4 linked regions of the Kluyveromyces lactis genome follow. The protein of the gene in region 1 interacts with the protein of each later gene in a biochemical or structural test. Links are inferred from orthologs where the notes say so. Each region holds a gene or a part of one and is shown on either strand. Other genes may lie near its edges. The genes, in order: DPB11, CDC45, LCD1 and RAD9.

What was found.
Region 2: the proteins of DPB11 (region 1) and CDC45 form a complex in vitro, tested with the Saccharomyces cerevisiae proteins (2 studies listed by BioGRID). The link is inferred for Kluyveromyces lactis from reciprocal best matches to the Saccharomyces cerevisiae genes DPB11 and CDC45.
Region 3: the proteins of DPB11 (region 1) and LCD1 form a complex in vitro, tested with the Saccharomyces cerevisiae proteins (2 studies listed by BioGRID). The link is inferred for Kluyveromyces lactis from reciprocal best matches to the Saccharomyces cerevisiae genes DPB11 and LCD1.
Region 4: the proteins of DPB11 (region 1) and RAD9 form a complex in vitro, tested with the Saccharomyces cerevisiae proteins (3 studies listed by BioGRID, with this or other methods). The link is inferred for Kluyveromyces lactis from reciprocal best matches to the Saccharomyces cerevisiae genes DPB11 and RAD9.

Annotation. Positions count from the first base shown.
Region 1 is NC_006042.1:1,322,507-1,330,654, forward strand, and holds DPB11 (protein kinase activating protein DPB11), read right to left. Parts: upstream 5,366-8,148; coding exon 3,356-5,365; downstream 1-3,355. Other genes in the region: KLLA0_F14256g (ATP-dependent helicase), read left to right, coding at 1-1,625; GWT1 (glucosaminyl-phosphotidylinositol O-acyltransferase), read right to left, coding at 1,710-3,050; SIP4 (Sip4p), read left to right, coding at 6,419-8,148. UniProt on the Saccharomyces cerevisiae protein: Has a role in the initiation of DNA replication. Required at S-phase checkpoint. Required for the association of PSF1 with origins. Also required for the proper activation of RAD53 in response to DNA damage and replication blocks.
Region 2 is NC_006042.1:1,832,072-1,840,229, forward strand, and holds CDC45 (DNA replication initiation factor CDC45), read right to left. Parts: upstream 4,939-8,158; coding exon 2,944-4,938; downstream 1-2,943. Other genes in the region: SAC6 (fimbrin), read right to left, coding at 1-1,629; KLLA0_F19800g (uncharacterized protein), read right to left, coding at 2,073-2,627; LCL2 (Lcl2p), read left to right, coding at 5,224-5,628; tRNA splicing endonuclease subunit SEN2, read right to left, coding at 5,803-6,912; REA1 (AAA family ATPase midasin), read right to left, coding at 7,611-8,158. UniProt on the Saccharomyces cerevisiae protein: Required for initiation of chromosomal DNA replication. Acts at the origin of replication. Also has a role in minichromosome maintenance.
Region 3 is NC_006039.1:147,292-155,562, forward strand, and holds LCD1 (Lcd1p), read right to left. Parts: upstream 4,621-8,271; coding exon 2,626-4,620; downstream 1-2,625. Other genes in the region: TOS4 (Tos4p), read right to left, coding at 1-1,019; RPL37A (60S ribosomal protein eL37), read left to right, coding at 1,644-1,650, 2,158-2,417; EMG1 (18S rRNA pseudouridine methyltransferase), read left to right, coding at 5,543-6,301; pheromone-regulated protein PRM1, read left to right, coding at 6,680-8,271. UniProt on the Saccharomyces cerevisiae protein: Forms a complex with the serine/threonine kinase MEC1 which activates checkpoint signaling upon genotoxic stresses.
Region 4 is NC_006042.1:1,204,270-1,212,642, forward strand, and holds RAD9 (chromatin-binding protein RAD9), read right to left. Parts: upstream 4,300-8,373; coding exon 1,417-4,299; downstream 1-1,416. Other genes in the region: DNA-binding transcription factor ADR1, read left to right, coding at 1-1,223; ADY4 (Ady4p), read left to right, coding at 5,128-6,222; septin SPR28, read right to left, coding at 6,319-7,491; BUR2 (Bur2p), read right to left, coding at 7,756-8,373. UniProt on the Saccharomyces cerevisiae protein: Essential for cell cycle arrest at the G2 stage following DNA damage by X-irradiation or inactivation of DNA ligase.

The sequences.
Region 1 (8,148 bases):
TAGCAATCCTTAGATGCTTACAATTTGCTTCCAATGGCATTGGGTCAACTACTATTAGAAAGATCAAATCTGCTTTTGACAAAGATCGCTGCAGAAATTCACTCGAGGTCTTGAAGGAGCTTTGTGAGTCTAACGACTTAAACAACCAAAAAATCTCAGCAGCTTTGAAACGTTTTATTAATCTTGTCGAAAAACTAAAGTTAAAGTGTGAAGAATACGACACTTACGATGGATTAAAGGAACTGTTTGCTGAGATATATATGCTAGGCGAGCTATATTCAGTCCTGAAAATCTCTAAAGAAACAATCAATGAACAGATTAAAGACAGGTCTTTGAAGGAATTTCTTCAAACCGAACATCAAAATATGTTTAAGGTATATGAACTGTTTACGGAGTACGAACTAGATCAAAACGACGAACATATAATGATTCAGGAAAATGCTGCTGATCCCAATGATTTAGCTCTGATAAAGGAGAATTTTAACTCTAATGACCTCAATTTCTTTGAAGTTATTACTTTCTTTACCAAATCCATTTCATTATATTCATCTGAAGAAGAGAACACCGAAAATTCTTTAGACAAATTAGCAAATCATCTGCAAGAACGAGTAACAGTATCTACCATTCATGCTGCCAAGGGTTTGGAGTGGCCAGTTGTATTCATCCCTTCCATAAACGAGGGATTGATTCCTTTTACAGAGCAGTCAGCTCGCCAAAGGCTAGAAGATTTGGCAGAATTACGTCGGGATGGTGAAGCATGCAATGATCTTAATAACTGTTCGATGGGCTCAGGTGAATTCGACAATATTAAAGAAGAGCTACGAGGCAAGGAATCAGACCTCATAGATGATTTAGAGACTACCTTGAACGAAGAAAGAAGGATCTTCTTTGTTGCTCTAACCAGAGCGAAGGATCTTTTGTATTTGTCTTCTTCAGGCAAAAAAAGCATCTTCTTAAAGAACTGTGAACAACTCTATTCGAATAATGTCTTGTTCAATAACCCACAATCAATTTTAAGGTTTTACCGTTGCATGAATCGGACATTGGAAGAAACCTCCTCAAAGTTTTCATTGAAGTCCCTCTGCCAAGACTACCAAAAGTCCAAAAATTGCAAAACCAGCACTTTTATATGGAATGGTACAAATGTTCAAACACCTGCTTTAATCGATTTCAATAACAATACTGCTCCCTCAAGTTTTTCCACAGGAACCAATAGTTTCAAACCTGCAAGTTCCTTTTTGAACGCATCATTCTCGCCAGGTAAAAACAGCTACAATTCTGGGACTGCAAATGTTACCAAAGTCCTCACAACCTCATCTAAAGAATGTCCAAAACCTGCTGGAGGGAAAATCTGCGAGAAAAAGAGGAGGATCACCCTGGATATGCTGTGCAAGAAGCCTGTCAAAAATAGCCAAAGCATGCAATCAAAGAAAATCAGATTGGAAAGCTCCTCCGCTCAAGACTTGTCGCACTCTATATCTTCAGATAAAAGAACTAACCACTCAACCAAAGTGGCAGTAAGTCAAAGCAAATCTTTTGCTCCAGCGTACACTCCTGTCAGGAACAACGCGAAACGAGTGAAACTCAAAACGAGTACTACTGCAAATGCCTACATTTCAAAGTAAAAGTGTTTTAAATGTATATTTATCTAATGTCTTTGATGATGATCTGCGATTTAATTACCTACACAGAGGTCAATACAGAGTTTCTTAAAATTTAAGCTTAAACGGAACTTTTAGAGCGAATACGGCGAGGAACAAAGCATACACTGTCAGTATCGCCATCGCCTTATAAGGTGGTGAATCCAATGTGTTGAAAGTGAAGTTAACCATCCCTGTTGTGACATTTGATATAAGAAATACCAGCATGCCGTTACCGTTTACAGCTCGATACGTCTTAGGCACTCTAGGTTTGCTCGTTAAGCATTCGACTATCAGTTGATCGAAGGTTAAGATTAACAGATTGAATGAAATAACCATAGAGGAGTACCCAATTGAGGCAAATCTCCGAGATACCTGTAATGGATGATAGTGTAGAAGAACATACGATATGGCAGAACTGAAGATGCTTAGAGCTACCAATTTCCACAGCAGTTGCATTGGATTTCTGGAGATTGGGAAGAACATACTACCAACTTGCTGGCCAGCTAGGTAGATGATACAATAACCAACAAACGAAAAGATTCCTTCTCTATTCGCAGAAATAAAATCTATTCGTTCTGCATTTAACAAATAGTCCAGAAAGGTTGGATGGTATATCAGGCAAAGCTCGTAGATAATGGCTGCAATCAAACCTATAACAAATCTCAATCTCATGTTGTAGAAATCGAAAATAATCATTGCAAGGGGTAGTAATGAAAGGGTAAAGAAGAAGTTCCAATGGATACCATATTCGGTTGCATGTTCTTGATAGTTTACAGCCTTAACGGAAAACAAACGAATGAAACCCAATACCACTAGTACCACCGTCGACCTTAATGATTGTTTAATTTTAGCCCATTTGGATAATTCAGTTCCAGATTTTAATCTTTTGTAACTTATAATACCATTGCTGAATACAAACGATCCAACACCTAGATCCATCAATGAAATGCCCCAGGTTTCTACCTTGGCATATTTCCTAGGAAAGATAGGGAAATCTACAGCCAATATGGCAATGGAAGTTAAGATCAGCATTGTACTCCTATACACTGTGAGGGTTGCTGACTGGTTGCCATTGTCCATTACAGTTTCTTTAATCGTTTCGCGTTTACTTCCCTTAGATATACATCCAAATAATAGCACCGCACTTAAACCTAATATACCTGTAAGAAATGGGTTTTCCCCAAATACAGTAACACTACAGAGGAGACCCATCCAATTCAATAAGAAATCTAACCAGAAGGAGTCCCGGTAGCTGGGATTGTTCGAAACGACGTAGATCCAAGCGGCGTTAGAAAAAATACCGGCTAATGTGACATCTCGTAAATCTGCAATTGAACTTCCGGAGTGTCCGGTAACGAAAGCTTCCTTCCGGTGTTTCAATTCATCAATTACACCAGAAGCATCCATGGTCTGATATCCCCGAGCCTGTATACGTTTCTTGTACTTACTTCCTTTATTGAACCTTCATTGATCTAGAGCTTAATAAACAGGTAGAATGACACTTGTCAATATTTTCACTTTTAAAGGAAGCATGCACAGAAGAGTAAATCTGGAATATAGGTTCAGACACGTAAAAATGACACACATTTAGGAGTTAGAGGCACTTCTAAGCAGAATAAGAATGTTAATGATCTTGTTACAGATAATATCCGAATGGATATGTATACATATATACATACATATATATGGCGTGACGTAATAATACATGAGATTTATGAAACATGAGAAATGATGTCTTTAGCTTGGCTTCTGGTAGAAATCTTCCTTCTTTTCAAATTCTGCTGCACAGATGTCGACGTTGATGCTGATCCGTACGTGATCTGAGTATGCGAAAGATGGTCACTATCATGACCTACAGTTTGGATAAAGCTTGATTCCTCATTCTCTGTATCTACATTATTTGAAAGAAGTTTCCCCCAACGGTTCCCTCTATTTGGAACATGAGGTAGTTCTGCTGATGCAGAAGAGGCAGTTGACAGAGGTGCCGCAATATCAACAGGAGCGGGTTTCTCTAGCAAAGGATCCTCGTTTCCTCTTTCCTTTGGAATTATTTGTAGTGCAAAGTCAGATTTAGAACCCTTGGGACAAGAAATACACCAATTAACGTCATTAAAGTAGATGTTCATGGAAGTCTTATTAGGTTTCATTGCTCTTTGGAAGAGTTCAATGACAAAACTTGGAGTTAGGATGGGAATATGATGAGCTTGCTTAACGAATTCAATTTTCCGTTTCATTGAATTTCTAAACATTTGAGCTTGATTTACAGAGATCTTCATATCCAAATCTGTCCTGAACATTGACGCGTACTTATTTTGCCTTAAAGTATGTTCCTGTGGTATTGAAGTCAATTGGGAGATGTTAACGAGTAAGAAATCCGTCTTCTTCGTCAATTTCTCATGATGGTCAAAACCAATCAACTTCAAAAAGTCTATAATTTTATTGATGTGTAGTAATTCCACGCCATGGAACCCTGTGATATGGAAGGAAAGTTTAGGGCCATGTAACACCGATTTAGGTGGAATGATATTGAAATCGTTGTAGAAAGGTTTTGACCAAAAATCCGGAGGTAGGAGTTGTTCGTAATACAAACATCGTTCGATGAAGAATTCTGTCAACCACGATGATTCATTTGGGATTCTCGGCAGTAGATTTGCCGGAAATCCACTTGGACAGATATAATAAATGGTCTTATCCTTCAGCTGTGCCGGTGACGGTGATGTATCCTCGAAGAGGGAAGACGTTCCTTTATTACCGCGAATGACATTAGATAAGATAGTAACCTGTCTTTTTTCGAACTTGAATAGCACGAAGTGACAGTCCAGGAAGGTCGGTGTATCCTTTGTCTCACCAAGGCATTCTTGATGCGTTGGGGTGGCTTCCTTAATATCAGTGGACTTTGACGCTGAAGCATCACCATCTCTTGCCAATAGTTTCCCCCATATCTGATTCGCTTGAGGCTTAAATTTATCTATAGCAATCTTCAACGGATTCACCGAATCATCTTGTACACCCATGGGATTTGGTTCAGTTACAGATTTTTTCTTATCTGGAACGTCACGAATGTACGAACCAGAACCAATGTCAGAGTATTCAAGTTCATGACAATTTTTCAACAGGTAGAAAGATTGAAAGTCTAGAGTCCCTGATCTGTCCATACAATCAATGATCCATTTTGGATGCACTACGGGAACGTTCTCTTCTAAAGCAGCCTGGACACGGTTCCCCGATAAATCATCGGTAATAAACAACGAAATGCATGCATTGGATGACGAAGAGTTCCTAATGAAATGCGTGGTATCTACCGATTTCACTTTACCCAATTTACACAACTGAACCAACGACTCAAGAGAATAATGGTTATTAGGTCGTATTCTGCCAATGAACAAGTTAAATTTTTCAAACGACCCGATAGAGTACTTCGATTTTAAGTACTGGGACATATCGAATTTAGCCAACTGCAACAGATCTTCTCCTGCGAGCCACGCATCGTACAACTGATCAACGGATCCCGGACTAACAAACACGATATCAGTTCTATTCTTGACAGCAAAGTTATACTTTGCGGTGAATAACTCTCCAACAACCAATACGTTGACTAGTCTTGTCAAATCCTTGGTATAAGTCCCACCGAGTTTTGTCACTTTATGTGAGATGGTATCAGAAACCGACAACGGGAGAGACGTAGGACAGAACACCAGTCCTTGAAATGGTTTGCCGGACATGTTTGCTCTACTTCAGGGAGAATTGAGGAAGAAGAAGAAGAAGAAGAAGAAGCTATCTACACCTTTGTTCCAGCTTTTTAGACACATCATCACCATTCATATGTGAAGGAAGGAAGGATGGATTGGATATCTGTGTAAATACGCGTTTATGTGTGGAAAATAATAAACAGAGAAGAGTTGTAAAATGACATTTGTTTACAGGTCACGTGGACGAAAAACACAAGCTACCCAGGGTTACCCTGAGAAAACGAAAACCAAAACCAAAAATTAAACACTAACCACGTGACTACAGCGAATCTCCCCCTTCCGGCGCCCCCCCCGTCGAGTCATCATCCTTGTCAGCAACCGTCCAGCTGACTCATATATCTGTCACATGTGAAATTGCAAGAAGCAGGCAAACATCGCCACCCATACACCATTCGGACTTGTGACTTCTCCCCGTTAGCCTTTCATCCGGACAAATCCTTTCAGGTCCTTACTCTCCCTACGATAAACCGATATAACTGCACAAATTTTTTTGCTGACTACACGGAAAACCGCGCCTAGAACCGCTTTTTTTGTCCCCAAAACTTCCTTTCCCCAGATCCGGCTGAAAGGGACAATTGCAAAACTGGAATTACACACTACTAACGCATATTAATTAGCCCTCTTATATAGTCTATAGCATACCGAATACTGAATAATATGTCCAACGTCACTTGTGGAAATGTCACAAATGTCAGTTTCTGGGATCCATCAATTAAGGGAAATTCTTCAAACGTCCCAGCTATCTCGGTTATCTCATTGGTTTATTCTCTTGGCTTGTTAAAAGGTAGTTTCTTCTTGCCTTAGTTTCTTGAATTAGATTTCTCGAGGGTTTTTATAGCCAAATATTATTATTATTATTCATGATTCTGAATCAGATATATAAGACAAACGGACCTGGGGAAACGTTCTGCCATATAACCATGAACCGGAAGGTTTATGGTAGGTATCAGATGTTTTTTTTTCTGTTTGGAACGTAAGCTTGCTATAAGCTTCCTGTAGTAGCGCCAAGTATATGTATATATCACTATGCCAAGTGTTTCGCAGGATGATGTAAAGGGCGTGCTTGCTGGTAAGATGTCTACTGGTAATAGCAGTGATGACAGTAGCAGTCAGTCAGGTAAGAAGCGTAAATATGGGAAAGTCGACAAACACAATGAGAAGAAATTGTTGATGCCTACGGCATCAACAAAAGTGAAACGGTTTTCACAGGCATGTGATAGATGTAGGCTTAAGAAGATTAAATGTGACGGTATCAAGCCTAGTTGTTCCAATTGTAAGAAGATAGGGTACCATTGTTCGACTAGTGATAAGCTTACAAGACGCGGGTTCCCTAGGGGTTACACGGAGATGTTGGAGAACGAGGTGATTAAGTTGCAGCGGCTTTGTGGGATGGTGGACGAGAACGGTGAGACCGTGATTGATGGTGCAGTAGCTGCCGTGGCAGCTACTGCACAGACGGGTGTTATTCCTGCTGGCCAGGAATTCCTTAACTCTGTGGGGGAAATGGGAACAAAGTCTTCTGTTTCGGTTCCTCCAGCGGCATCGGCAGCGCCAGTACCGGCCCAGGCCCCTGCGTCCACGTTCCTACCCTTTATCAATGATACTTTCCATAAATTCCCAAACTATATCCATGACCAAGTGTATCTAGGTAATTTCACCTGGAATTCGATCGTCAACCATAATAAATCTCAGTTGAAGTCTTTCCAGTATACAAGGTCTATCGTACAGGACCCGGTTCTATCGTACCTTAACCGACATTTCCCACTTTCACCGAGCGGTGTACCGATTAATATCCCCTTATCTGCTGAGGATGTAATACGATTAATTGATAAGTACTTGAACTCGAACCAAATCTTCCCATATCTCTTGGGGACGTCATGGCACCAACGAATGATCTCGGTACTAACCGGGACTTCGACTGTCTCTGACCCTGCGGTGTCCATTGTACTAATACTTATAGTACAGTTCGAGTTGAATTGTTTCAATAACGAGACGATTTTCCAGGCGGTTAAACTTTTGGGTTCCTTGTCGCAGGACAAATTATCATCGATTCAACTGATGAATTTCGGAATACGGTATTTCATGTCCCAGGAGAACCCATACTCTGTCATTTGGACTAACGATTTGATTAATTTCAACCAGTATATGATCATCAATTCAGCTTTGTTCTTGAATTACAACAATCTTGTTGGACATGAAAACTCAACGTCAAAGGTTATTAGGCTTCTCACGTTTTATCAATTCCAAGTGTTCCAGATCTGGTGGTGTTTCATCAACGGATTACCTAAGACTAATTTCTTAATCGATGAATTCCATCCACCAACCATTTCAGAGTTCCCACCTCATTTGAAGATGTTCCAACTCATTTATGATTTCATATTGCAATTGGATGGTTGTCACCTTCAATTATTAGCTAATGAGACTAACAATAAATATCAGCTGTTGATAGAATCCTTCGGTTACAAATTAATTTACCAATGGAAACTTTATCACCATTTACAAGACCATGATTTCAAACAAATTCAATTGGAAAACAACGACTTACTTGAAATCGGTATCACTTTGGTATACCTCGTATGCCGATATTTACAACAACCGAATTCCGTGGAACTATCTTATGAAATCATATCACTTTATTGGTTAATCCTATCCGATAATTCAAACGTGAAACCAATAAATTCGAGAATCTTGAAGACTGTTCAGTTTATGCCTTTGAACAATAAACAATTGATAGAGAACTGTTTGTTGAACTTATT
Region 2 (8,158 bases), about 510 kb from region 1:
CAATTCATTCATTGTATTGACAATATTCTTACGCATTAACTGCCACACCAAACCTAGCGTTAGTAGTTTATTACCGTCGACAATATCAGAGCCATCAATACCAACCAAAGAGAATCCTCTAGATTTACCTAAATCAACAGCATAGTTAGTATTTTCCAAAGCCTTGAAGCGTGAAAGTTCAGAGTCAGATGATTTCTTGTTGATTACCTTCCAGTTTACAGATCCAGGAATAACCTTATCATATGCCTGTAGAAGTACTAATCCATCCTTTAAGTCTTCGAATAGTGACACAACTGGAGGATCTACTTCCAAAGAATTTAACCACAAAGTGAAAACTCTGGCTTCTCTCTCACCTTCTGCATCGAAATCCTCAATTTCGATAGGTTCGTTTTCATCCAATGGATCCAAACCAGGATGAGTGTTGAATAGATGAGCAACGAAGGCTAAGTTTAATTTAGGATTACCAGCCACTAATGCCGTTGGAGTCAAATACTTTCTGCATTCCAATTTTTCAGCGTTTTGTAAAACTTCTTCTGCTCTTTCTAGCAAATCGGTGGTTTGTAGTGGTCCCAATGAGCATAGATTTGAATCCAATTGATTTAATAATACAGTATAATTTTCACCATCCTTGATATCAGAAGAGAAATTGGAGACCCTTCTGTGCCACCCAGCTTGTTTCAAATGGTAGTTGAACCAACGCAACAAGATTTGTTCTGGGGGTAGTCTTAGGAATTGCTCCAAAGTTTCATCTTCTTCTAATAAACGGTACAATTCCGGGTGTAATTTGATATCAATCTTGGATAGCAAACCTCTCCTAATAATTTGCCAAATTAAACCTAAGATCAAATGTTCTTTACCTTCAATAATATCTTCAGAGTGAACATTAACCACAACACAGCCGATAGCTTTAGCGGAATTGATCACAATGTTGGCGTTTTCGGAAGCCGTGAAAGTGTTCAAAGCCTTGTTATTCTTAGGCCAGTTTAACACTCTGGTATCGATGGTGTCCGGGACAGAATCGTTAATCAACTTGGACAACACCAACCCATCTCTACATTCGTCGAATAATTGGAAAGTATCGGTAGGGAAAGGAAGCCTATGACCAATGTCTGCGTCCCCAGCTAGCACGGAATTGATATGTGTAGTGAAAGCCCTTCTTTCTTCTTCATTAATCGTGTGGGTGGTACCAGAAGTGGAACCACCGACAATAATCTGAGCTTTCTCACCAGTACCTTTGTGTTGCAAACCAATCGATTTAGGTTTAGTTGGAACCGGTGGTGCACGGTTGCTCTGACCGGAAATGTTAGGAAAGCTCGTTTGTGGGAACCCCTTTGAATTGTCTTCGTCCTGTTGCGTACCTTGAGATGAACCGTTTGCTCTTAATTTTGCCATCAATTCCACGTAATCCTCCAATTCAACATGACCCGAAGCATCTACATCAACGGTCTTCAAAGTCTCCCTAGCTTCATCATAAGATGCAACACCAGACTTGGAAATGGATTCCAAAATTTGAGGTTTTTCAACCCAGCCCTTATCCTCTAGATCGATGTTTCGAAAATGCTCTATCGTTTCGAAGAGATCTTCCTGAGAAAACTCAGGGAACTTTCTTTGTAATCTAATAATATTCATTATTGATCAGTTTATATTGCTGTGATTCCAATCAATTGCACTAATACTGCAAGTTGTAAACCGTATAGGCAGAAGGAAAGACGAGGGCTTCCTTTCTTGTTTCGGGCGTGGAATACGGCTTTCAAGGTTTATGTTTTATATTCCACCATGTTAAACTTTATTCTTTAAAGGGCTTTTCGATTGGAAATGGAAAAGGAGAGAGTATGTGATGTTCGTATGTTATGATAATTGAAGGGAATTAAAGCCAGTACAAGCCTCCTGGTTCAGCAGTCTGATCATACGGTGCTTTACACGGGTTTCATCGTCCGTCTATCCATTTGCGTATGCTATTTATGCTTGTCGCAGTCTATTTGCATTAGATATATTGGGATATTCCGCACTGTGGAATAATCTTGTGAGCTGTGAGGGATGAAATAGTCACAGGAGTTAATACTACTAGCCAGCTATTCAGTGTTTTCCTCGTACTTCCACGCCTCATTTTGGACAAATGCTGTTTGGAACTGCCGGAGCTGTTTGTATAGATCTTGAGATGAGTTCGAGTAATCGAATTTCGGACTTGTTTCTGGCATGTCATCATCCATTAAATCTAGCTGTTCTCTCCATAGCGTTTGGTAATACGGTACATTGAGCCTGGATTCAGGTATTGCTCTATCTTTATCAAAAAGTCTTCTCATGGCAACCTCTTGTTGTTGCAATTGATCCACTTTTGTCTTGTTTAGTATATTATCATGGAGTATGAAAGGTGACGGATCGTATTTGAAACTGAGAGTGTTTTCAGATATCCCTGGTGCCCTTTGTTTCCCATTCATATCCCTGTTTCTATTGCGTTCATTCTTGTAATTCAACGGAGTGTAGAGCGAAGAGTCGCTGAATACATTTGCCGATGTGCCCATCCCAACGTTGAAATCCTCATCTGTTGAGTGTTTGACATGTTTGATCCTGCGGAACTGCGGGCTTTTCCAGGGTGGCAGACGCGGAAGATCTATGTTGTGCTCCATGTATTAACTTAAGAGCCTGAACAGCTACAGTTGAGGGGTTGAAGGCTGGTTCTTGGCAACATTTTGCCTATAATTATGACAAATTATTGTGGGTATTTTAGAATGCTTACCTTTGACTGACATTTGTGGCATTGGTTTAATGATCACGTGATATCAATGGTAAACCTAACAGATTTCAAACAGCTTGGACATCCCATAGTAGTGTCAATTTCGAGGTATCTGATTAGATTGTTACATAATATATATATATATATTAGATTTAAAGCCGAAAGCTCACCTCATGATATGCCTAAATTAATATGTTTGTGTCTTCGTGCTAAATCAATCCGCTTAATGTCAAACGTTCAAGGAATGGTTGTAGATCGTCTTTCCTGATTTCAATAATTGATGTCTCGAAATTGTCAATCCTTACTTTGGCACCTGTCTCAGCTGCTATTTGTTGAAATGCCACTGTGAAATTATTTAAAGTTTTCTGCTGTTGTTGTTGTAAAATGTCCAACCCTCTTGGGTACCTTGGCGCAATCCCTGCACAAAGATATGTGTCAGAAGTCTCATCTAAAGTTGCCAATACCAGTGGAAGTAACTGTTTTTCGTCATTTTCTGCATAGTATTCAATGAGCCATGATCCCAGCCTCAATAACGTTAATGGATTTCTATATAAATGCAAATCTGGTCCATCTTGTAAAACACATAGCCTGTAAATCCTTAAATGTTTCACTAATCTTTTCTCCAGAATAGCGACTCCAGTTTCAAATACACTTCTTTGTAAAAATGTTGCATGCTTAATCCCCTGAGATAAAATATCCATATTATTGTCCAATACATCCCAACTTGACCAAAAATTTGCAATCCATTTTTTTTGCCTTGTCTTCAGTATTCTGTTAATTTTTTGCTCTTCAGCTTCTTCGTACTCCCTATTCTCTTCATCACCTTGGTTCGTATCATCTTTTTGAGATACATTAGCTGTTGTCAAATTTTCTAGTGCGTTTGAAGCATTGCCAACTTCAAGTAAAGCGGTTATCGATTCGACAAATTCACTGGCACTTATTGATCCTCGGTAACCGAAAGTTCTCAAGAACCCATCTCGTACAATATCTTGTAACCCGTATCTATCGAGATTTTTATCGAAAAGTACGCCCAGATCTCTCTTGAAATTATTGTCCATATATATCCAGTTTTCCTGTGTAACACTCAGCGGAATACCCATGCGTGCAAACATTTTATGCAGTCTTTTCTTGCCATTTTCATTCCACAGTGACAGTTTGGCGTTGACGTAGTTAGAATAATAAAAACTATCATATAAGGATGTATGCCTCAGAAGGAATAAACTGTAATCGGGACGAATCTCAAGATTCAAAGAATCTGGCGTTTTAGTTTTTTCACTAGGTGTCAATCTTTTTACTTCATCTTTCAGAAGTGGTAATAGTCGATTGTATACCAACGGGAAGGAATTATCCAAAGAGGACACTCCTAGAATGCATAACCATAAATAATCTAGATTTGTCTCACCAATACCAGACAAAAGAGAATATATCTGAACTGAAAGGGAGTTCAGCACCGTTGATCCCTGTGAATAGTACTCCTGTAACACTTTTTCTAAGTTGTGAAACTCTCGCTTTCGTTGTTTATGTGATTTTTTTGGATTCAATTCATCGCTGGACCTTTTACCCAATACTACGTCATCGTCATCGTCATCGTCATCGTCATCGTCGTCTTTATCCTCATTTTGCGTTTCCCTGTCATCTTCCTCTTCCTCGCTATCACTGTCATCGTCCAATTCATCGCCAAGTTCGTTCTCTATCTCTATAAGTTTGTAGTATGCTTTCTTTTGCTCTGTCAAAGACTCTTCGACTGTTCCATCATCGAAACAGGTTATGCACTGTGAACCAAATAAATTATCCAAATTCCACGGTCTATGACAATCAAGCACAAATATCTCCTTCTTAAATTTCTGAACAACGTCAGTCTTATCTAATTGAATCTCATCTAATGGACCCTGCGTGTTTTCTTGTGGATCAATCTCTAAAAAAGATTCAAGATCTACCATCCCTCCACAACCTACAAATATAACGCTATTGATATTTTCGTCCAGTCTCTGATAGTGATCCTTCAATTCCGAATAACCAAACACGGGAACTAACTGTGATTGTACCAATTGCTTCTTGAATAGACTGGATAGCATCTTCGATGCACATAACGCGTCAATGTTTAAACACGAAACAAAAATCACCAACTGACATGAAGAATGAGAACTGCATCGGTGAAGAATTTTATCATAAGCACCCACAAATTCAGCAATGCCAATATACATCCTCTACCTGGCACTTTGATGGCCTGCAGTGGTTTTGTTTGCAGTCTCTTTTCCCTCGTGAGCTAGTCATCTCATGTATTTACATAAATTTCTTTAAAATATTGGTTTGGAATACTTACACGTTTAAAGATTTTTGGAAAATCGATTACTTGTCATAAATGGCATACATGCGAAATATTCGAAATATTCGAAGAGATGCCAAGATTTACAAGACTATAGGTACTAAACACTGCTATCTGATATTTCATATTGCAGTATTACGAAATACGAAGATCTTAACTTACTATGAAACTACTGGGAACAATAATTGGTTCAGCATTCTTTTTACAAGCTGTGTCTGGATTCTTTTTCGATTCAGGTCACCAGAATAGACAGCAACAGCAGCAACAGCAGCAACAGCGGGATGTTGGCTCTTACCAGCAAATGTTCCTAGATAATGACTGTCCGCATTATTTATGTCCACAGACATTGGATTGTGTGAGACAGAAGTCGGATTGTGCGTGTCCGTTCCCTAATTCACAATTGAAATGCAATCTACCCAACGGTCAGGTAATTTGCATCTCAAAGCCAGCAACACATGATCCAACACTGGTAGAGATTTATGATGATCCAGTAATGGGACCAGCTCAACGTACTGAGGGATTCAGAGATTGTGGATGGATCTTGGATGTATATGACGGCAAGATTTAGAATGAGAGATCTTTCTTTCTGTATCGGCCATAATACTATTACAAACATAAACTGATAATATATATAGAGACATATAATACAGACCATTACTGTATTTAATGCAATTAACTAGCATGGGTTTATTTTTACTCGTTTGAGTTCTTCGCGGAAAAGATCGTTACCGGTTCGGAACAGTTAATCTCTGTTCTTACCTGCAACCCATCTTTTGTATAACAATTCATGGATTTTAAAGTTTCTGAAAAGCTCATCGTACTTTGATTGCTTCCAAAGTTCCATTAAGTCATCTTCAGGTATGAGTTGTTCAACGTAGCATAATACAAACTGTTTCTTGGCTCCGCCCACGACTCTGGCAGCGCTTGAATACCAAGTGTAATCATTTGACTGGTTTGCATCCAAAACCATGATTCCATACTCCGCATGTTGGAAAGGGGGTCCTCTTCTGTATAATAAGTATTCGCAACCAAATTTTATCCCCGATCGTACACACCACCCTTTGGACCTGTAATGATGGTACGCGACATATTGATGAATTAATTTCTTGATGTCTTGGAAACTTTTCGGTTCCAGTACCAACGAAACCATTAATTGTTGCAATGTGATCTTCAATACCGGCACTGCATAAGAGAGGAAAATAGCCTCGACGGGCATCAATTGCAAGCTTTCTAGTTGAATCACTGATTTGCCTTCTATTAATCTTAAATCTTCGTCACGTATTTGCATCGAGTCCTTTTCAAAAGCTAATTCTTTATCTCTTTGATTCTTTAAGAATAACCTTTCTTGTTCAATGAATTGTTCGTCTACAATCCCCTTTTGTCTCATTTCTAACTTCTTGGCTTCAAATTCAGCTCTCAGTTTCTTGAATTCGAGCCGCTGCCTTCTTCTAACGTCTGTAACATGCTCTAAGTTGATTCGATCAGCATCATTTAGTTGCAATCGAGACATTGTTCTTGCCTGCCAGTTGGGTTCACTCCGAGATAGTTGACCAGTACCAAAGAATCCGTGTTCCCATAAATACTTCATCTGCCATTGATCACATACCAAAATTTGACCTAATTGGTTGATCTTGACGTCAATAATTCTGGTTTCACTCCATCTCATCGCCCAATCTAATATCCAGGAAAATGCCTGAAAGGGATGTTTCCATACAGACGGTACAGGCTGCGCCTCTATAGGCAACGCATGTTTGTATTGCAGCTGATTTCTATGAGATCGCTTCGACATTGTAAGTACTTGCCTCCCGCGGTCTTCATATATAGTTACTAAACATGCAAGAGAGATTAGCATTGGACAAAATATGGTTTTATAACTGATCTCTAATTCAAAAGAATTAAGTTTCAATAACTAAAAACTCGAATAAGCAGTACAGAGTTAAGGAGTGATATTAGGTTTACATATTTTACTAAGAGGGGTACGAATTAGAGTAGAGAAAGGACAAATCAGATACCGTTGTAGTCTATTGAGAAATCGTGTGCTCACATTGAAATAAATTCTTCGAGACATCTAAAATGGTTTATCATCATATATAAAGAAAAAGCCCTTCAAAAAAGAAAAATATCCACAGAGGTAACATATCTTACCGCTCACTCCATCTGGAATCTATGAACAGTAAGTATGCTGGCTGTATGAATCAACTACAGTTGGTTTATTTTTTGGTTGATCAGAATACTTATATATGTGGCATCAAACATATCTTTTCTCTTCCAAGCTCATCGCTTTTGGCCTTTTATACTGAAAAATGAAAATTTTCACGTTTGTGAAATGTCAGTATCACATACAACGGACAATTTCTATACATTTCGGGCTCTAAGGAGGCAGAGATTCTATGTGTTGAGCCGGGTCTGGGTTAGGGCTTTAAATAGTTTAGTACCATGAAATATTGGTATATTTTTATTTATTGTTGATATTGTTATTACGGTATCTAGTTAAAGATCTATTGTACAGTTTTATACTTTTTTTTAGGTTTTTGACGTGATGTTGTCCATCTACATGGATGCCATCTCTGAGAAATACTGTCTTAAGATAATGGATAACATTTCTGGGAGTTCGGTAATGTCATGAACGACAACGTAGAATTCGAATGGGAATGTGTCTAGGTATTTCTGGACTGATAGTTTCATGTTGCCGAATTGATCTGGAATATAGTTCACTTGAGACATATCCATGATTGATTCGTTAGAGTTAATACCATCGATGACAACGAAAACGAGCATGATTTTATTTTCCCTTGCTCTGCGAACCAATCTTACTAATGTTTCGTGGTCTTCACAAACACCATCGGAGATGATAATTTCCAATTGCCATAGGTCGTTACTCTCCATAGCTCTTGCTCTTTCAAAGATCTTGATACTTTCAGCTACCAATTTCTTGACATCGGTTCTTGTTTCTTGGAAATCAAACCATTGGAAAGTCTGAGCACCAGTTTGGGTATTGAAAGGTTGGTTGAATGGGTGAACTTCTCTTACAGTTTCACCGAATTTCACGATAGATAAACCACCGGATTCAAGTTGAGTTAAAGCCTTAGAGACTAAAC
Region 3 (8,271 bases), on another chromosome or scaffold:
TTTGGAGTCTTTATTGTGAAAGAGCTATATGGGGTCAGCTTGCACTTGGTACGTTCCACATTAGGTCTTTCAGTATCAGAAGTATGTCTTATAGCCACTGGTAAAACCGATGGTTTCATGCACTGAGGTGTCGGTGGCGAACACTCGACTGTGCTCATTGGTATCATATTAGCAACAGATTCCTGTTCTTCCAACGAGAAGTCTTCGTCATGGAATTCATCACTGTGTAAGTCGACTTTTGTCAGTTCATCTTCAGTTTCCGTATCATTTTTGGCATCTTCTTCATCAGTTGTAACATCTTGTAATCTAACACGAGCCTCACATTGTCTGAAGTCGAATATTGTGTCCTTGATATATGGCATAATGACTGTTTCACCTTTCAATAGTACAAATGATGTCAAATAAGTTGATTTCAACAACTGCTTTTCCTCTGGAGAAATGATTTGTTCGTTATCATGTAATTGGTCCTGTGTTACTAGCTCGTAAACATCTGAAGCTTTTGATCTTTTAACCAATACATGTGACAGCTTCTTCGGGAAGGAAATAACGAGACCATTTGTACCATTGCATTCGAGTTTTAATTGGTTGGAAGGTGAGATATAAGAAATGAAAGCATGTTGTCTGGAGATATTTTTTCCGCGAGGAAGATGTATATCACATACAGATTTTTTGCGCCCAATTGCCAATCGTGAGTTATCTCTCGGATCTAGCGAAATATCGATTAGGCTAACTTTCTTCAATTCGGTCTCCAGATGTTTTTCCATTTCGTAATCAGATGATAATATCTCACCTGCTTGATCTCTCATTGGGGAAGAGGAACGACCAACAGTAGAAGAGGGATGTGGAGTTGGATAATTTTTGACATTACCTTGCTTTAAGTCGTCTTTGTCCTTGAACAACTTCAAACTGGCAGATGAGACCACGGATTCAGTATCTTTCTCTGGGTGATAAAATGGATTTTCTAAATCATATTGATGTGAGCTCGCAATAGGAGATGAAGGAGGAAACTGCGAGTTCATGACCTCGTGTCTTTTCTTTCTTTGGTTTAATCTCTGTTAACGTTCAGGTGCTTCAGTTTTAACCCTTTAGAATCTGATATTAGATTTTCCAAGTAGCAGTATCTTTGTTGCCTTTCTATGACAGGACACTCCAAAAACAATACTACAGAATCGTTTTGTCTTAGATAGATGTTAATAAACGTAAAAGAACTTACTACAACCTAAAGTCTCTTCATTTCTCAACTGAATATGAACTTCATACTAACTTCAAACTACAAAATATGCGTCGCGTCGTTTCCTTGTATTTTGTCTATTTCGTAGTGGCCACTTTTCGCGTTATTCCCCAACTATCAGGACTGCTCATTTATTAAATCCGTACATCCAAGAATATTCTATACAGATAAACTAAAACTGGTGAGTTGAAAATGTATTTCCCTTTTTGGTAAATAGACGGCTCTCCGTATTTGAAATTTTCTTTTCCCTGCTTTTCGATATCGAAATTTTCCAAGGAAAGTTGTTTCAACCAAACTTTTAGAGATAATATACATTGTTCTATATCCAACTAAGGTCAATATGATAGAATAGTGCTATCATTATAGTGTTGGGTTTAGATTCAAGATAAGACAGAACCAGACATAATCAAACATGGGTAGTATGTGATAGAATACTATACATTTTGGAACATCCTTATTAAGAGCTTTGGAGTGTGATATGCATAAAGAACGAGTAAAATGGAGAAAACAATAACACAAGGAATAATTGAACCACCCGTGAGGCAGCACCAAATTAACGGAATGGACAGTCGAACTCTAATGGAATATAACGTTTGATGAGGTATATTTTGAAAAAGGCCAGAAAACGTTACGACATCGGCGAGTACGTTAGCGAATTATAATGTTCAATTTACACCTACTTATTAAACGGGAGAGAACAAGAATGAAAAAGATTTGAGAACAACGGTCGACTCATTGGAAGGATTTCTTCGGAAATATCAGGTTAGGTTTTATGTTACCTTCTATGAAATTTTTTGACAGATTCAACTAAGTAATAATGACCATCATATTACACTTCACCTACCTAGCTCATGTGGAGAGTTCGATTTACTCTAAGGAAACAGTTTTACTAACGATTTTTTTGCATTGTCAAATTTTTTAAACAGAGGGTACTCCATCTTTCGGTAAGCGCCACAACAAGTCTCACACTCTATGTAAGAGATGTGGCCGTAGTAGTTACCACATTCAAAAGCACACCTGTTCTTCTTGTGGTTACCCAGCTGCTAAGATGAGATCTCACAACTGGGCTGCCAAGGCTAAGAGAAGAAGAACCACTGGTACCGGTAGAATGAGATACTTGAAACACGTTTCTAGAAGATTCAAGAACGGTTTCCAATCTGGTGAAGCTAAGGCACAATCCGCTTAAACTTTGAGATTATCATGTTGTTGAAGACATATTTTTTATTATCTCATTACTTTGTATAAGCATTGTACTTCTAAATAAACCATCAATATAATCTTTTCAGAGTTCATTCCTATGAAATAATTGGAATATGCTAATATTTATCACTTTGATCAGTGTAAGTCGATGCACATGAACGCCAGTAACTGAGCTCTCTTCGCTTCCGTCTTTCTCAAGTTTCACTAACCATGGCTACATACAATGAATCCGCTTCATCCATAGTGGTTATGCTTTCGAGAATATATTTAGCCATGTCTCTCAATGGCCATGAGCTGTTGTTATTAAATTTTGAAACTGCAGATTCCCTTTTTATGTCCAATTCCTCGGAGTGCATGAATGCTGGTAAATTATCTTCATCATAAGCGTCATCAAAGTATTTCTTCTCTTCCTCTAACGCCAATGCTTTCAATGGATTTATTAGGGCAGCCCATTCTGTGGATAATTCATCTGTCGACTCAGGCCACCCATATACAATACGCCATAGACAGATTGTCAGTTCGTCTAGCCTTAAGGCACGTTTATACTCGTCACTTATCGACACCCAACAGAAGTATATCAATTTTAATAAAACTGATAACAATTCCTGTCTCTTAATATCACTGATATGGTCCCTATCCAAGAACACAGTAAGTAATAACTCTTGATGACTACTGAAAAGAGAAAAAGTCTTTTGTAGAAATTCCAACGAACATAGAGTGGATCGGTATCGATGAAGCAGTTTATGCATTATTAATGTAATATTAATTTGTATCTGAATTGACCAATACTCTAGGTTATCTAATGCTGTGAAAGTGAGAGGTTCAAACTCGTTCTCTATAATCATGGGTAAATATCGAACTTCTTCGAGACTTATAATATTATCTATCATTGAATGATTGGAGTTATCGCCACAGCACCTATTTAAACCCGCAAAGTTGAGTGACACAGAGTCAAAAGTAAGTGATCTCTCCCAATTTTGAATTAATTTTGAGAACAATACTGCCCATTTGCCTTTCCAAACGTTTTCAGCACCATCCAATTCAACTATACCGAGTAATATTTCCGTTACGTTGACGATGATTGGCATTATTGGCTTATATGAAATTGATAAAGTAAAATTGCAACATTTTATGAGGTTCTCTGCAATAGTAGCGTCATTCAATACTATTTCCTGTGCCCGCGTATTACAGTTTAGCAATATTACAATACATGTCTCTAGGACATCGAACGAATAAGTCATGCATAATTGATCAAGCATTGAATATTGAAACACGTCTGGAGAAACGTCTAAATCCAAAGGACTCTCATGCAATGGCTGTTTCAAAAATTTAGGATCAGAGATGATAAAATCTGTAATGAATTGAAATACATCCTTCAGTGAACTAACACTGGTCGCACTATGTCTAAAATTGATTGTACAATGCATCAAAGATATGAGGAAAGGGATGGCAAGTTTATTTTCCGGAAGTACACTTACTGATTTTATAGCAATAGCCAAGATCTCTAGTGTTTTATCAACTAGTTGATCGAGGGTGTAAATGGATTTCCATTTAAATATCAACGATCTAATAGGAGGGCCAAGAGGCAACCTGGCCTTAATTATTTTGTGTTCCGGGCTCAAAATAAGATCTGTCTTATAAGTACAAATGTGATCGAGCATTTCTAGAACTGTGTGCTCAGAACCAAGTAGTTTAAAATTCAGCAAATGATCATAGAAAAGGGAACCATCGTCTACTTTGAAATTCTGAGTCAATGTAACGTATTCTTTAACGGGTTCCATCCTTCTTCTTTTATTTTCAATTGGTGATGGTTCAGCAGTTTCAGTTTCGTGGGTAGTTTCAGACTTGCTGCTATTTCTGGGGGTAAATAAATGTTTCTGTTCCAGTAACATGAACTTTCGTTCATCTTCAAGTCGTTCCAATTCGATTTTAAGCTTCGTAACTTCCTCTTCATGAGAACTTTTCAGACTTGATTCCAGCTTTTTCTGATTATCATCATGTTCCCTTAGAGTCTTTTCGAGCATACTCAGCTTCTGCCTCAAGACTCCCACTTCTCCCTTCGCTTTCATTAACTGTTCAGCTTGTGATTCTGGCGGTTTAATAGGTACCGCCATCTGGCTCATCGGAGGTCTATTCACTAGTTCTAGGATATCATCGTCATCGTCATTATCATCCCATAAATCTGCCATATTGGCCTAGGTTGGTTTTTCTTGTTTTTGTTTGACGCGTTCATGGTAATGTTCTTGACATGAATTAACAGTTAAAGGTTAAATCAAATTCTGTGGTCTTAAGGTGTAAACAAATATGCAGATGATCTGCATTAGCTGAAAGAGAAAAAAAATACATAGTTTCTTGGTTTCACTGTTGTTGACCTTCATTCCCCATTAACGCTGATAACATGTCGCTATAATGCCCTTATACTCGCTGAATTAAAGTCCCGTAACTTCTATATCTCTTTCTGTACACTCTTTGAATGTATTACAATATTTATTAATGATATTTGACTTAATGCTGGCATAGAGTTGTAAAATATAAAAAAGATTATATTAACATATTGAAACAATCAATGTCATATTCACAATCATAATAAGAAAAGTTTCTTTCAGAAGGATATTGCTATGGTTAAAATTGTTAATCATTTAAATGAATGGTCTAGAAAGATCATTTATATTGACGCTACATAGAGTATTCTCTTTGCCCAGTAAATATGACATTTCAATGTTTAGTCATAAATTTACTGAAAATACTCAATCGAAAGATGGGACAAGACCCACACTCTCAGAGATGCAATTGATTTACATTCTACCATGTTACAACGAACGCATGTATCGAATGGCGATTTCATGCCTTGAAATCCCTTCCCTCTTGTCATTTGGAAGCTATGACATGCGGTGCACGGAATTTCTTTTTACTGTTTGAATTTTTTTTTTTCTATTAACCACTTCATGCTCATCGAATGGAATAGTTACAGAATAACTGGAAGAGACCATACTTTAACTACTTGCCGCATCGTTGTACCAGCTCCTGTGGTTTGTTATCGACTGAGGATAAGCTTTATTACGGTACATTTTAGTAATATAATAAGTACAAAAGAAATAATATCAAGATAATATGGTTGAAGATTCTAAGGTCAGAGATGCCATGAAAAATGGTGAGAAGAAAGTCTTGCCGGCATCATTGGTCCCTCAAGCTCCGCCAGTGCTAACATCGAAGGACAAAGTTACCAAGAGACTTATTGTGGTGCTATCCCAGGCTTCTTTAGAGACACATAAAATATCATCCAACGGTCCTGGTGGGGATAAATACGTCTTGTTGAATTGTGATGATCATCAAGGTTTGTTGAAGAAAATGGGAAGAGATATAAGCGAAGCTAGACCCGACATTACTCATCAATGTCTTCTAACCCTATTAGATTCTCCTGTAAATAAGGCTGGTAAACTTCAAGTTTATATTCAGACCAGTCGAGGCGTTCTTATCGAGTTAAACCCTACTGTACGAATTCCAAGAACTTTCAAACGTTTCTCAGGTTTAATGGTCCAATTATTGCATAAACTATCCATCAGATCAGTTAACTCTGAAGAAAAATTGTTGAAGGTCATTAAGAATCCAATTACCGACCACCTACCAACCAAATGTCGTAAAATCACCTTGTCCTTCGATGCACCTGTCATAAGAGTGCAAGACTACGTGGAAAAGTTGGATGATGATGAAAGTATATGTGTGTTTGTTGGTGCCATGGCCAGGGGTAAAGATAATTTTGCAGATGAATTTGTGGATGAAAAGATTGGTCTATCCAACTATCCATTATCTGCTTCGGTTGCATGCTCCAAGTTCTGTCATGGTTGTGAAGATGTGTGGAACATTATGTAAACATGGAAACTCGATTGTTCAAATCAGTATTATATCTCGATAAAATTAAGTAATATTATCAAATGCAGAGTTCGATAACAAAAGTCGCCATATTTTGTACATCAAGGGTAGCATTGGAGCTAGTTTATGGTGAAACACGATAGAAATTTTTCTCTGCTCTCTTTCTTATCTGCCTGTTTACGGTTAGAAGTGGCATCTCAGACGTTTTAACTTTTAAGATGTCTCAAACATGTTTCATGTAAAATAAAAAGCTTAGAACAAAGCACATATAAAAAGGAACAATACTTACAGGTGCCACCTGCTAGTAGTGAACTGCGGATAACATAATTAGAATGATAGTCTCAGTAACTCAAAAGAAAACAATGATGTACCATCGAAATGGGACATATTTACTTAAAACTTAATGAGCGTCTGTCACAGATATGGTGTAATAAATATACGATAATCATACTAGTCATGATGGTTAAGATACTATTGTTCATAAAAATGCTATCAAACGGGTTCGAAAATATAATGGATTATACCATGGAGAATTGCCGTAACATCGATTATTATTATTCCAAATATGTCAATTCTTCCCCACATTATATGGGTCTTATGGGAAACTTTCTAATTCAAAAATCTATGGAACAAAGTGTAGCATTATCGCTAAAAAGTATTTCACTGTTGGTATCTGTTTCTGAAAATGTCATAGATTTTATGATAGATCTTTGGTTGGGGACATGGGTATGCTTAATCGTCAGTGCAATTGATGGATCGGTTGATGTTGCAACGAATGCTACAGAATCTGTCATTGATTTAGTAAATGGAACAGTAAGTAGCGTCGCAGATGAGATTGATGATGGATTGAGCGGATTGACCAAAGTAGTTAATAAAGTTCTTTCGGCTGTCAATGATATTCAGAATTTCTTTAAAGGGAACGATGATGAATCAGACATTAATGATCAAGTAAAGAAAGTTAATTTAACAATAAATGGGCTGAGAACACTTTCTATTCCAAGTTCTATAGATGATAAGCTGGTGAAGCTGTCTGCTAATACACCTGATTTTGATACTGTTAAGAATAAAACTAAACAAGCAATTGCCGTTCCATTTGATATCATCAGGAATGAAATTAAATCAATTAACGCCAGTAAGCTAGTTGGAGACCCGCAGTACCTTGAAGTACCAGCAATTGATACTAGTGGTGTAAAAATATGTTCAGATAACAAGTCAGAAATAAATGAAGTCTTTGATACCATAAGAAAAGTGTTTAATGCTTCCACCATGACAATACTAATAGTTTTTATTCTTGCTGCTCTAAGTTTGATTGTGTATAACGCCTGGGCAGAGTGGAGGCAATGGATACGCCTTAAAAGATTCAGAGATCAATACAGGCATCAGACTATCATGCTTAAAAACCCATTTGATGACATGGCTGACGAAAAAGTCCCACAGAACGTCGATATATTAGAAACGTATCATCTGGTCTTCAATAGATATCAATCTGGATTTGGAAGATGGCTCAGCAGACGTATAAGTTCGAAGTTAGAAACACAACGAAATATCCAATGGTTGGTAACGTATTTGACATCTTCTACTTCGCTAACGTTATTAGCACTTGGGTTATGCGGTATTCTCATGTGTTGCGTACAATTTGCCATCATTGCGATCATTTCCAACAAGATAAACGGGAAGGAGACAGAAAAAATGATGACATCGATGTCCACAGCCATGAATGATACAGTACAACAGGGAATGACAGACTGGTCTAAATCTGCCAACCTCTACATTAACGACACGGAAACTCAAATTAATAGGCAAGTTTTTGGATGGATCCAAAATACGACAGACACAGTAAACGGTACAGTGACAGATTTAATTGAAGACATCGACAACGCAATTAGCAAAGCGTTCAATGGGACAATTTTGTACAAACCCATGGATACGGTAATGCAATGTGTCATCGGAAACAAACTGGAAGCCATATC
Region 4 (8,373 bases), about 120 kb from region 1:
ATCTAGGTTATCATACTATTCCACAAGTTTTAGTAAATTCAATGCTTTTCTATGAGTACTCAATAAAATTATCTGGGTCAAACATGAATGTGTTCATCAACAAAATCGATACTAAGAAACTAGAGAAGAATTTACCCCAAATCGATCAGGATTCTGCTACATCGGACTGCTTAATTGGTGACTCCATCAATTTAAAGAACTCTTTGATTTCTTTGAGATTGTTTGATAAATTGGACTCCCATTTTTTCAGAATAATATCCAAATACGGATTAACTGACGATATTTTCGAGAATTGTTTGTCACCCATTCATGCCAATATTTTGTCCAAAAATTCTGATTCTTTGGTAATTGATTTGTTGGTCTCAGTTAATGCTTCTATCAAAAATATTGCATCGTTATTTTACTACACCAATGAGACGGGATATTATGAAGAAATTAAGTTTGATTACTCAAAAACCTCGTTGTTCCAAATTCAGGGTTATTTCTTCAATTTCCTTTGCATTTTAAAATTCATATTAGACTTTGAAGCCACTCCAAATTTCAAGGTGTTGAGTATATTTGCGGAGTTACGGAAACTGGTAGAGCAGTTAATGATTCCGAAACTTGTCCATAATTACCCTCTGGAGTTTTCAAAATTCACTGACTTAAAGACGGCATATGATGGACCTTCTCCACAGGCTCCAGCTGTCCATACGTTCAGTCTTGAACATTTGGAAAAGAGCATCGAATCAGTTTTAGTACAATCATTCAATGACTATAACTATTTGAAAATGCCAGTTGGTCCTGTCAATTCGTTGAATGAATTCGAATTTGATTCAGGCTACGCTGAACCAGCTCCAGGACCCAGCAAGTCATCAATAAACTTACTAAGGCACCACGATCTATGTAAACAGAATGGTGCTAGAACAAGACAGGGATTTTATGACCGTTATCATCTATCAGACAAATTGTTACAGGTTGCCAAATGCTCTTTCCTCTTGATATATGAATCACATGTACATGGTTCATTATTGACAAATTTCATTGACATAATTAACACTCTTCAGTCAAAATTAGACAATCAACGCAAAATTACGAATATTATTTTCAATGAAGGAACCCATCTCTTTGGAAGCAACAATAATCCTGTCAACGATCACACTCATTCTTTTGTTAACATGCTGAATTTGCCAAACTCAAACACTCCTCCTGGAGATTACTACTTCAATCCGAATTCCCTATGACTACCGTAATATTTAATTAAACAGCTTTTTGATGTATGAGATCTCACGAAATGACCAAAAAAAATTCCTATAGTATACTATTTATAAATAATTGAACAGTATTTGTTAATCCCGAGAATATAATGTAACTCTTATTTATTCTACTTTCTATCAGTCGGGTCAATTATTGTACTCTTACTGTGATACACTTTTATTACGCCTCTTCATTAATTACGGTCTGAACCAGCCATTCCTTATTTTTGATCCTAAAATCATTTATACCCTCCATCAGGAACCTTTTAGAAATGCTATTTTCCCAGTCGGATGAGTTCTGCAAAGACGTCTCGTTGATGAAAAGTATCATCTTCTTACTGTGGTAATTATGCCGAAATTCTACAAGTTGGTCGAACAGATCATCGTCCAACTCTTGCTGTGGTTTCAACTTCAAGTTTTTCGTGTATTCCCAATGACCAACTTTAAACACCTGGAAAATGAAGTCCACGAAAAAATTCATATCGGAGTCTCCTAAAATCAATATCGAGTAATCTTCCAAAACTACTCTGGCATTGTTTAGTTGTGCATCTAAAGTCAAACTGCTATTGAAGTTTGTCAGGAAACTAAAAACATTGCTTGATTTGATAATACCTAGATTGAAGTCAGCCATCAACCTGTTACTTTCTCCGCTCGGCAAAAGATTTTGTAGTATCGTTTGAGTCGAGATATAACCTTTGTTTATGCATGACTCAATAAACCTCCAATGTAGTACAGGCCATCCCAAAGCCAATGCTTCTAAATACTTCGGACTTCTTGAAAAGTTTCCCGCAATAAGACAACCAAAACGGTAACTGTTAAAACGTGGATTGTTCCAACTAAACTCTCTTGATCTGTCTTCATATCTTAACAGACTTTCAAACCCTACGCTGGAGACATATCCTCCTTGTATCTCGATTAGATAAGATAACCTTTTTCTATCCATATCATTAAGTCCACTCAATACAAAGATGCACTTTTCGAAAACAGAACCTCCCTGTCCTTCTAATCCACTCATTATAGTAGTATCATAGAAAGTGTCTCTGAAAATCTCTGAAGTTGACTTGTTATAATCTTGAGCGGTTTTCTTCATAGGAGAAATAGAATCCCTCACTGATCGACTTCTAACAGAACGTCTCAATTCATCCAAAGGATCATTGTCTTCATCTTCCAGTTTTATTTTGGTTCGTTTGATCCACTCCCCGGTGGTAACGTATATGGATGCAATGGTATCTACAATATCATTCTTGCTGAGTCTTCCGTTTCTCAGTACCTTTCTTAAATGCACCGTATCATATCCTCTAATGCATCGAATGACATCTTCTTTTTGTGGGATCTGGCAATCTAAAGCTACGACTTGATATTCATTCATCTTCCAGTGGACTTTATCTCCACATCTAATATCTAAATAGTAAATGTCTTCCACCCTAACATCATTTTGACGTTTCTCGAAAAGAACGGAGCAATACCCAGGCTTCGTACGCTGTTCGGAAAGTATCTTACCAGGATAAAAATTGCAATCATTAAAATAATACCAGACCGCATTATTGAATAAAACATCTTTTTTAGTCAACTGCATTTCATCTGATATACGAAGTTCTTTCGGCAGGTAGACACCTTCAGTGAAAGCTGTAAATTGTGTCATTTTACTTGGTGTACTACTATCTTCAAATTCTTCTTCTAATATTAGCTGCTTGTTTTTCCGTTTCTTGGATACATTAAGTTGTTCTTGTGACTCAAATGACGGTTTGTGCTTGCACTCATTGCGTTCGAAAATTTCAGGTAGTTCCTGAGTTTGTTCATATTCCTGATCTGTATCCAGTCTCGAGAGCTCTCTTGAGACATCATTCGTAGGATTATGTTCATTGTGTTTACGTTGGTTCAAATCGGTAGCATCATTCCGGACACCCCCAATTTGTTCATCCTCGTCGGATATCTGACTGGATGGTTTGACATAATATGTGAGTTTAAACTTCATTTCACTCGAGTTTTCATCTGTTTGTTCCTTCTGAGAAGATTCATTGTTCATCTCAATAGACGAGTGACATTTGGCTACTTCCTGATCTTCTTTTTCTTCTTCTCTTTCTTCTTCACTAAATACTGTTGAAGGTGATTTATTGGAGGCCTGCTGCATGGGTCGGAGATTAACGACCGCTGGAGAATGAACCAACTGGATTTCTTCGTTGAAATTAGAACCTGTTTCCTTTTGTGTCAATATAGTTCTGGTAGAAGGAAGAAGACTGTGATGAAATGAGCCAAAATTGATTGGAGATGTATGCACTATTGATGTCTCTTGAAGTGCAGACTGTTCATCTAGTTTCAATAAGCTCTCTGAGACATCGAGGTTATTAGACTGAGTTCTAATTAGCTGAGTCATCTTTTCATCGGCCAATGTAGACCTGATTTCTTGTGTTTGACTTACATTAGCTGAATTCGTTGCAGGTACTAACATTTCATTAGATGTTTGAGTTACATTTTGAGTGTCAATATCACCCAAGATATTACCATTATCTGCATCCTTCAGTGTCATTATAAATGGTTGTGGATGCCCCTCTGGGGACGAGTTGATATTTTCAATCAAGCTGATCGGTTCTGAAGCTGCCTTCACTTCACCTTTAGCATTCCTAAGTGAGCGAATCGATATCTTATTCTTTAATGGCGTGTCTAATAATTCAGGTTGATATGTGTCATTGTTATTCAAAAGAATACCTTTAGTTTGAGTCAAATCAAACGGTAATTCCACTTCGATATTCAAGTCTTTCTCCTGAAATCGTTGCAATACATCAGTCTTTGATTGGATATCAATTCTTCGTCTAATCTCGAGATCTCGATTTCCCTCAGGTGTGTCTTCTAACAGGGATTTATTCGTTGGATTTAAATTGAGAGCAGTATTACCCAAAGCCTTTATAGCCTTGTTAATTCCCGTGAGCGTTCGGGTGCTTGTATTTTCTTTTAACACTATTTCATCTGAGGAAGTAGACTCTATCTTGTTCGATAGCTGTTTTCGATCTGGACTGTAATTGGGAGTCTCTTTGGTAATACCACTGTCTTCTTCGTCTCCTGTCATACCATATGAAACAGCAGATACTGATATTGATGGTTCAGAATGAAGTGATATTTTGGCTCCGTATTTTTATCGAATGTTTAATAACTTTTGTTAGTTGTGCGTTACATACTGTAAACTTTCTTGTTTTGGTTTATGATTTTCTGTCAATATTACATTTGTAGTTGTTAAAGACTAAGACATTAAAGAGTCAACTGTGCGATGTGTGAGTTTTATTATTATGTATCCATAGCCGGTCGCATCTCTTCAGGGTATTAGTATATGAGTTGCTAGTATAGCACTGGTTGCAGGTTTGCTATTCTAGGAATTGATTTTCGGTTCTTCTAAGGAAAAGTATGATATTTTCTATCGATGGGTGTCAGACACACATGAAGTGAACCTTTTAGAATGCATTTTTTGGTTGTTGGCACAAACGATATATACCAACACAAGAGGTGTAGCTTTTATGATCCTCGCCTTAAGCAAGCATAATTTTGCTTCTCGTGATTAGCACCCTTTAGTCGGCAACAATAACTGTGATATCATGACCGACAAAAATTCGAAATGTAATGGTAAGTGACATTATTAAATGAAAGCTAACAATGATAACGATTGAATGGTAAATACTAACTCTAATGTCATCTACTATTAGGTTCATATGTTGATGTTCTACTTTGTTTTGAGTCGTTATTGGAAAAATGTCTCAAGACGCTTGAAGCCAAGCAACTAATCAAAGATTCAACGGAAGTATGGGACGACTTTGTGGATATCATACTCTCGTTCATTCCCTTAAATCTTGTGAAAGAACGATTCCAAAATGGTAATATTAGCAAACAGCGTATCATTTCTATAATGCAGGGTATTCTTGATCACAATCCCGATATTGATTTTACAGTGGATGCAAATTATATGTCGGATAATCTATGTGCTAGATATGCAGATGATCATTTTGTTCTTAGATGGAAGACAAACATTATCATCAACTTCAGAATTATTCAAGCATTCTTCGAGCTTCTAGATGAAGAATATGGGACCGCTTTTTTCTCTTTCCGCTGGATTCTACAGTTCATTTCAGTCTCTAAAAATAAGCGTCACAGTGAGAAGCGATCAGACCTTTCCTCGTCTCGGATAACATGGATAATTCGACAAACTTCACTTTATCTGGCAAAATGTTTGAATTTAGATTTTAATCAAGGGAAAAGGGTAAAATACGTGTCCTTCAATTCGGTTAGGGTGAATCGTTTGGACATGTTCAAAGGCATATTATACACAATATTGGAAAATTCAAGCAGTGTAATATCTGCACAACAGGACATCCAGAATAAGCATATGACTGCGGAGTATTTCAAGATATGTGCAGAAATCTATGAATTTATTGCGCTACTCGATGGGAAAGTATTAGACTATGAGCACGCACATGATGTTAAGACTACTGTGATAATACCGCAAACAGTTTTTTCCACTTATATGATCCGTCATTACATGCTAGCTGCAGTTCATTTCCCATTCGATGACCCTAAAAGGCTTGTATGTTTCCACAAAATATTGATGGGTTTATTTTTTGTGAATAAAGTTGACTTAGCTACTTTCAACTACTTCTATGGTGAGTTCTACCAGTGTGCAAAATCCATAAATGAACAGCACTTTGTCACTGATTATGCTAATTTTTCGCTTTCTGGTACCTTTGTGAATATAATTGAGTCAGTTGCACAGAATCATCAACATCTCAAGCTTTTACCAAGTGTCCTAATCCGGTTGTCTACCAATGAAGTAATAGTCGACTCTGAATTCGATCCCGTCTTATCAAACCGACATACTTATTCGAAAGAAGCAGAGAAGTTGAAACGAAAAGTTCGTGGGTCTGATTATGAACGTGATAATGTTGAAATGGGCGAAAATGGTACCAATAACTTCATAGAATTTTGGCGACAGCTCAATGAAAGATAAAGCAAAAGTACACTTTTATATAATTTTTGTTATATATGTAACACCAAGTCTTCTATCTATATATTAGTGGGAAGCAGTGTTAATAAATCGAATCGATTAAGTTGAAATAGTTTCTTTTACAAAATTACTATTCAATTCATCAAGACGTTTAGAACTGTAGCCACGTATTTCCTCATTGATCTCTTTTGATTTATGATTAAGTTGATGCTCTAGAACAGTACTTTCTGCAAGAATATCTCTTTCATCATTATTTGACGGATAGTTGTTGCCAGCTAAAAGCTTTTGCGTTCTGTAATTTTCATATAGCTTATTGTGCGTTGTATCTTTCAAATCTTGAAGATGAGATCCTAATAGAATGTTCTTCAAATAAATGAAATCACAATGAGCCCTATTTTCCACTTTTACAGTTCCCCAGGAGTACCTTCTCACGTGAAACAGTTCTCCATTTGGTGAGACTTCAACTTCATTACTACCAATTATCGAAAATGGTAACATATCCCTGATTCTACAGCAAGCTGTATTCAATTGGGCTGTTCCTTCACCATAACTATTTTGCTGCATACTGTCAAAAGAAGTGTTATTAGGAATTGGACTAGAATCATTAGCCTCGACAAGCATCAAAGTATCTTCTAGTTTATCATCTACAAAATCGTAGATATTGATATCATTTTCATAAATATCTTCCATGATGAGACGTTTATTTAATGCTATTTCCCTTTCGGTTAATAAATCAGCTTTGCTGATGACTGGGATGATATTGACCTTGTCACATAACGCCTTCATCAATTTTATATCTAGCTCACGAAGGCCTTTTGACGTTGCTCTAATGAAGAATAGGCAAACATGTGGTCTAGTGTCAACATTTTTTGGGTTTCTCTTGATTCTTATTTCCTCATTCAACACGCGATCGAACTGGGATTCCAAATAATCAACAACGACTTCATGGTTATTAGAATTGTTGATATTATCCCCCAAACCTGGAATTAGAACAATGTCGAGGCTTATTGGTGTAGAATTTTCCTCTTGTAAATGGAAATTCTTGGACACAATATCAATGCCTGGGCTCAAATGTGCGGTGGCAGGATCAAAACCCTCTTCTTCGTGTCCAAAAACCTCTTGGTTGCAGATATTATTGCAAAAAGTGGACTTGCCTAAACCTGATTCTCCTATCACCAACATGCAGAACTGTATGCCTCTTTTGGCATTTTTCCTGCGACGAATTTCTTCTGCACTAAGCATCTGATAATTAGATTTCTTTTTGCCAAACATTATAGCTGATGGGAAACACTGTTCACTTTGCCACCGTTCGTGAACCTTCGTATCTTTTCCGTGCGCAAATAGTATGATGCAATGATGTGGTTCTTTCTTCGAACCCTTTTTTATCTTTTATCTGACAACATTCTTCGACAGTGAAATAAAAGAAGCGACGATTTTGTGTCATAAAATAGTGCATACAAAATCGAGGGAAAAAAGGTATGAATGAGTTTGTCCGTCAATGGAGTCGTGATGATACTACATAGTTTATATTAATTTTCAAAATCTCGGTTTCTTCGTAGCTTGTTCGGCGGGTGGCTCTGAAGGTCTTTTTATGCTTCTTTCAGACATGATTCTATTCGAAAGCTCTTCGATCTTTCTTTCGGTATAGTTCAAAAGTTCTTCATTGACTTCTCCCTCCTTTATGATGTCGTAGTCGTAAGGGTTGAATGGTTCGGGATCTAACTGTCTATCTTCATCTATCACTTTGTCTATTTCGTCAACAGTAATGGATAAAGCGCTATTTTTGTTGCTCTTCAAATCGAAAAAGGCTTTTTCAAGTTGTTGATAATGCGAGAACAACGAAGCAATGATTTCACTGGTTATAATTACTGGGAAACGCCTCCTGAAGAAGTTATGAGGGAAGCTGAAGCCCGGTTCTTTGTTTTTTTGAAAGGTCACACCAGCGAATATTAGGGCTAAGGCCACAAGTGTGTATCCATCACATAGCAATGAAATTGGCTGTGTTCCTGTTTGGATGATGAAATTTCTTGCTTCTTGTAAAATCACGGGGAAAATCTCTCGAAGTGATGCATCAATATCAGTATCTCTAACATGTCTGTAATATCCACTGAATATTTCCTCTATAAGTTCTTTCGGATTGTCAATGTCAAGGTC